Linked DNA regions of Tribolium castaneum. The protein of the gene in region 1 interacts with the protein of each later gene in a pairwise test. Links are inferred from orthologs where the notes say so. Each region holds a gene or a part of one and is shown in the gene's direction. Other genes may lie near its edges. The genes, in order: exosome complex component MTR3 and Csl4.

Region 1 (3,395 bases):
GTCTAGCGAAACATCTTCAACATCTTCCTGAGGTTCTTCAAGCAGCTTGGACCTCAAATAAGCCTTTTTCTTGGTGAGGGAAGGATTGGTAAACATTTTGGGGTCATAGTCGAACGTTAGATTATCAATTAGTTCATTGGTTGTTTGGAGCATTTTCTTGGAAAAACTTTCGTTTGGCTCCTCAGAGGCGAGAGCACTTGGGATGGGTTGGTGATCATCATTGAATGGAATTGTTTTAGCGACAAAAACCCTGCTATTGTTCATAAACTTCGGGATAAATTCCACGAAACAAATTTTATCAAGCTTTTTCAATTTTCGGAAACAGACAAGAACTTTGTTCTTTTCCACACAATACTGCCAAAAACTAGCAAAGAGGTCCAGCTCTTCCTTAGGATCCACCTCGATGATTACCGGGTTTGTCAAAACAATGCCCACATCCGTGACCCTGTCAGACACCTGAACTAGGGTGTAACCAATTGGTAGGTCTGTGTTTCTAATTTTGAAGCGTTCACTAACACTGAACTCGAGTGAGCCTAACTCATAGTCAAGCTTGTAGGTTTCAATGGAGTCATTTACTGTTTTTGAAACCTTTTTCAAAAGTTTTCCACTTTCGGAAACGGAAGCGTTGTTGTAAAGTCGTTCCTCTTGGACAAACGACTTCTGCCTGATTTTAAGAAACCGTGTTTGGTCATTCGCAAAAGGGAAAAACAGCAACCTCCTTTGATAAAATCTCCTGACAACTGAGGAAGAAAGTTTCTCAAATAAACCATCTTCATCTTCCACAACTGTCTCAACGGGAGGGCTCTTAATGATTGAAAATAACTCATTGTAGAAAATTTTATAATCGAAGTTGGGCTTCATGGTCACCAACTCGAAAGTGATATCATTAGACTCGAAATTTTTTGCTTCGTTAAGTGCAGCAAATCTTTGGTTCTTGTCACCACGAACGGGGTTATCGTCGTTGGTTATGAAAATGATCGTTCTTTTGTAGAACACCGAATTGACTTCCTTGAACTTTTTTTTGCAAAAGAGGAAAAATGAACTCAAATTTAAGCCGCTTTTTCTTTCATACATATCCAACAATTTTTCCTGCGACAATTCATTCTTTTCTTTAAGCAATTTTATTGATTGTAAGATGTTATCGTTGAAATTGACAAGCGACGCTGAAGCATCTTCACGTGCCAATACCACACCAAAAGGGCTCCAGCTTCGCTTATTTTGGACAAATATTAGCGAATTTGCCAGATTATAACAGGCAGAAATGCAATCCTTAAACGGGGTATTGCCATCGCTTTCGTTTTTAACAAACATCGAAGGGTCGGTATCGATTGCAATGAGGACGAAAGATGGTTTGTAAAACGTGTTAGAACTTGCAGATTCGTCTCCTACGTCTTCGTTATCTGACATCTGAAAAGAATAAGTTCATAAAACATCTTTATTTATAAACGTATTATCAATAGGTAGTAACATTTCTCACCTTGATTAATTAATTAACAGTAAACAATCAAAAAGAACAACAGCAACAAGTTTACACAAAGTTGCGCCAAATTTGACGTTTTGTTGACAATCCCCTTGAAAGCGAACCACCAGAAAACATAAATCCAAAAATGCGAATAAATAAGTCTAACATTTACTCTAACTATATGTTGCTGTACAACGGCACAAATTAATACGCGCCTAACGTAGTTTTTATGAAAAAGAATTAAATTAATTGTGTTTTCTATTATTCGACTTTGTGAGACTTGTAAACCTTGAACTTGGAATGGTTGACAATTAGCTATATAACCTTACTTTTTTCTAACATAACCTTGAACTGAGAGATTTAAAATATAATTTGCAAAATACACTATGCCCGTGGATCACAAAAGAATCAACGGTCCGGAAATTTCAATTCCGTACCAACTATTCGACAAATTAAATACAAAATCGTTGAAAACCCAATTCAGTGAAATAGTGCAGCCGAATGGGACACGAGCCGATGGCAGGACATCAACCGAACATCGAAAAATATGTAATTTGTCTTTAGGCCCTTGCGTGTTCCTTGATCTAATTTTTAATTTTCTAGTCTTGAAAACTGGGGTTGTTAGCCAGGCCAAAGGCTCAGCGTACATTGAATTAGACCAAACCAAAGTAATCGTGTCTGTATTCGACCCCCGCGAGATACCCAACAAAACTGACTACAGTTCCAAGGGCGAAATCTACTGCGAGTTTAAATTTGCACCCTTCAGCTGCCACAAACGTAGGTTGCACCAGCAAGACGCTGAGGAACAACAGTTCAGTGCTATTATGAAACAAGCGTTGGAATCGGCAGTATTCAGGCACGAGTTTCCGAATTTTCAAGTCGATATTTACGCAATGGTGCTGCACAATGATGGGGCTGCTCTAAGTGCGGCTATCACGGCAGCTGGGGTCGCCTTAGCACATGCTGGGATTCCAATGTATGATTTAATAACGTCAGTGACTTTAGCTGTGCAAGGGAATCATCTTTTGGTCGATCCAACTTTAGAAGAAGAACGTTTATGTCAAGTTCCTCTGTTTAAAGAAGAGGAAAACAATCACGGGATTGTTGTGCTGTCGGTTTTAGCGACACATGAGCAAATTTCACAATTTTATCAGAGTGGATATTTGTCGTACGCTTGCTTGAGTTCAGGCATTGAGATGCTTACTAATGCTGCTAAGGACATCGTTACTTTAGTTAAGAAATGTCTTGTGAAACATGTTATTAAGAGTGTAAGAATTGTTGAAGATTAAAGAAATAAATTATATTTTATTTAAATATTTTTTTCACTGTCAAGTAAGGCACTAAAGTTGAATTTTTATTACAAATATGGAGTTAAAAAAACAAAAAAAAATTCGCGAAGTATGAGAACTTTGGGATGTTATGCAACCAATAATACAGACTTTAGTAATTCAGTCTTTTTTAAACACTTTCAACACGATATAATTTATACTGAGAAGTACTTCTTGACATACACTTCAAAGTAGTATTGGAAGAATTTAAGATTTTGCTCAAACAATAAACGAATAAAAAATAATACCTTTTTAATTTTTTTCTTGGTCTCCGTGGTGGTCAAATTCAGAAATTAAACCGTTGAAAGTATAGAAATATGATGTCCTAGACTTTTTGAAAAAAAATTACTTCTTTACAATTTTTTGTATCTTCAACCATATTCGCAGCATTCGCAAAAATATAAAATGGAACGTAAATTGAGCGTTAATTCTTTGCGCACTGTCCCATATTTATCAAAATGCTGGGAATACGGTTGAAGATGCAAAACAGTGTATGGGACAAAGTTGTAGAAAATTAAATTTTCTTTAAAAAAATCTGGACACCATATTTTTATCTTCTACAGTTTAGGTATAAATTAACTTTGCATTACTTGACCACCGGTCAA
Region 2 (3,135 bases), on another chromosome or scaffold:
TTCTAAATAATTTAATTGTTATGGAAACGGCCAGAACAACAGTGACAACTGTTAATACAGTGAAACTTCTGTCACCCGAACTAATTCGTCCGAAATTATATATTTTTGAAATATATAGAAAGACGAAATTTAATTGTAAAAAAATTTATTCATCTTTTAAAAACTGCTCATCCGCTTTATTGAAGTCTTCGCTTAAACTTTGGGGCACTTTAAGTGTCTTCAAATCATCTTCTCCAATTTCCTCCTCGGTGCGTATCAAAATATCGACCAAATTTTCACACGCTAAAAGCACCTTTCTGTCCTTTTCCCACTTGTGCAACTCGCGCAAAATCACATAAGTGTTTCTCTCTCTGATAAATTCTCGATTTTTTCTCTTGGCACATAACTGGGTCAAAGCCTCCAGTAACATGCACCTGATATCTGGATCTTCTTCACGCTGTTTCTCCTCCGGGAGATATTGCAGTTCAAGGGGGAGCTTGTCGTTGTCTTCGTCGTCAAATTCCTCGTTTCCGGCCAGGGGGCGGAGCAGCCGGGGCAAGATATCGACATGGGGGCCCAAGAGCAGCTCATGACACTCGGGGTCAAATGTGCAGTTACGCAGGGCCCCCACGACGCCCCCGCGCCTCACGGCCGACTCCTCGAATTCAATGAAAGGCACGAGTTTGTGGATCCGGTCCAGGAAGCGTCTCCGGACGCGCCCACTTTGCGACAAGTTCGAAAAAAGGGGGCTCAAGTAGTGGAGGTTAGCCCCCGCTTTATTGTACTGTTTTTTCGTGAAAATGTCAATCAAATCGTCCAAACTTGCGCTTTTCTCAAGCGCATCAATCACTTTATCGTGATTGGCCCGAGATAAGTTCGATAAAATCATGCAGGAAAAATCGGCGATTTTACTCATGGGGTCCGTCACGAATTTAACAACAGTCGAAGTAATGTCACTCGGGGGGCTCTGTAAAGGGGGGCACCCCACACTCGTGTCCAAATCAAGCAATGCCAGGGCCCCCTTGTGATCAGCAGAGACATTAACAAGGCAAAGTGCCGAGTCTTTGACAATTGTGGCGTTATTATCACTCAAAAGTGTGATTAAGGAGACCAGAAGTGACGGTGTGTTGATTAATGTGGCAATTCCGTCCGCATTCCCCGTCAAACCTACAAAAAAATTACAAAAAACAAGTCTAACCTCGAACCCTATTACCCAAAATGTGCCCCAAAGCCACCGATTTGAGGTCCAAACGGGCCCCCAGATGCACAAACTGCAACAATTCGGCCACGGAATCACCCATTATCAGGCTAAAGCCCCCAAAAAAAAACAAAACACGAGGGGTGACAGCTGTCAAAAAAGTGGGGTTAGGTGGCAAAAAATCATTCTAATAAGTAAGGCATTATTTTTTTAGGTTTATCTCTACGTTGTATGTATATACAGGGTGTAATGAGTAGTTAAATAAACATAACATAAACCAGTTTATTTAATTCTGTAGCCAAATTAATGGTCGTAATTGGTAATTAATGTTAATTAATGAATGAGAAAGTAAAATTTTGCAAATTCGTTTTTTGACAATTGACAGTGACACTTGACGTAACCTCAAAAAAATCAAAAATTTCGTTTTTGTGCTGATTTTTCGCATGTTATAGCTCCTTGTGTGCCTTTGATTGGCTTTGAACGTCGTCTGCCGTGATAATAATATTGACAGTAAAAGGAACACGCAGTTTTTGAAATTTCTTCATGTCAATTGACATTTGACTTAACCTCAAAAAAAATCAAAAATTTCGTTTTTTGTTGATTTTGGGCATGTCATCGCCCCTTGTGTGCCTCCCGGGGCAGCGGCTGTGCCTGTCGGACCCCTCGCACGTGTCCGGTCAAGGCACGTACGAGCGTGGGGGCTACATCTACGCCACCCTTGCCGGTGTTGTGGACATTGTCCCCAAAGACAACGTCCAGATCATTGAAGTGCGCAGTTCCGGGCAGGAAACGCTCGTGCCGTCACAGGGCGACATCGTCACAGCGCAAATTCACACAATCACGCAGCAGTTTTGCAAATGCTACATTAAGTGTGTCGGGGATAAGGTTTTGGGGCGGCAGTATCGCGGGATTTTGCGGAAGGAGGACGTGCGAGCGACGGAGAAGGACCGCGTGGAGATTTACAAGAGTTTCAGGCCCGGGGACGTGATTCTGGCGAGGGTTTTGCCGATCACGGAAGCTCACACTTATCAGTTGTCCACGGCTGAGAATGAGCTGGGGGTCGTGACGGCGCACTCGGAACATGGGGGGCTTATGGTGCCTGTGAGCTGGACGGAGATGCAGTGCTCCAAGACGTTTGTGAAGGAGGCCAGGAAGGTTGCAAGAGTTGTGCCAGAAAGCGTGCAAAATGATGTGAAATAATGTTCAATAAATTGTATTTTTGTTTATTTTAATAAACCCTTTTGCGTCCCTTAAAAGTGCAAAAAAGTTAATTGAACTATTAGAGATAACCCTATAAAGTTTATAATCGTTGGAAAGCTCTTTGGATTATCTATTTTTTTCAAAAATGATTATTGTTCTCCGACTAATAGTTTTCGAGAAAATTGCAAGCAAAAGCAAAAATTGGAAACATTAAAAAAATCATAACTAAAAAACTATCGGGAATTTGGCGATTTTCTCGATGTCAATCGATTTCCCGGATCATTTTGCATAGGTAAGGATCAAAATAGTTCCACTTTTTCGAATAGTTTAGCCGTAATTCGATAAAAATTGAAAAACTTAAAAAATCACGCTGCTTCCTGAAAAACGTGCTCAAAAAACTTAAAAATAAACGCAGGCGCGAAAATTTGAATTTGAACCTAATTCTTTAAATATCTCGGAAACTAAGCGTTGGGCGCAATTTTGTTCTATGAGAGAAAAGATGCAACTTGATGTAGTCTAAGCGACGGTCTGGTTGAAATTGTAATTTTCAATAGTCATTTTGCTATCTCTTTAAGGAGCCATAAAAGACCTACACATTTTTGTGTTTTTGTAATGTCCAGTTCAGGCGGTGAAGTTTGAGGGGTCACTCGATGGGGTTTATATTAGTTTGAAAAACCCACCCTTATATTTTTTTTCAACTTTTATTAATACTTTTTCTAGTTTCGGGAACTGTTTGCAGTGGAGAATAAGTTGGTTTT

Evidence for each region.
Region 2: the proteins of exosome complex component MTR3 (region 1) and Csl4 interact in a two-hybrid assay, tested with the Drosophila melanogaster proteins (2 studies listed by BioGRID). The link is inferred for Tribolium castaneum from reciprocal best matches to the Drosophila melanogaster genes Mtr3 and Csl4.

The regions. Positions count from the first base shown.
Region 1 is NC_087396.1:13,655,896-13,659,290, reverse strand, and holds exosome complex component MTR3, read left to right. Parts: upstream 1-1,708; 5' UTR 1,709-1,848; coding exon 1,849-2,011; intron 2,012-2,065; coding exon 2,066-2,751; 3' UTR 2,752-2,776; downstream 2,777-3,395. Other genes in the region: X-ray repair cross-complementing protein 6, read right to left, coding at 1-1,407.
Region 2 is NC_087401.1:17,299,309-17,302,443, reverse strand, and holds Csl4 (exosome complex component CSL4), read left to right. Parts: upstream 1-1,486; 5' UTR 1,487-1,573; intron 1,574-1,629; 5' UTR 1,630-1,786; coding exon 1,787-2,377; 3' UTR 2,378-2,433; downstream 2,434-3,135. Other genes in the region: protein HGH1 homolog, read right to left, coding at 146-1,146, 1,193-1,280.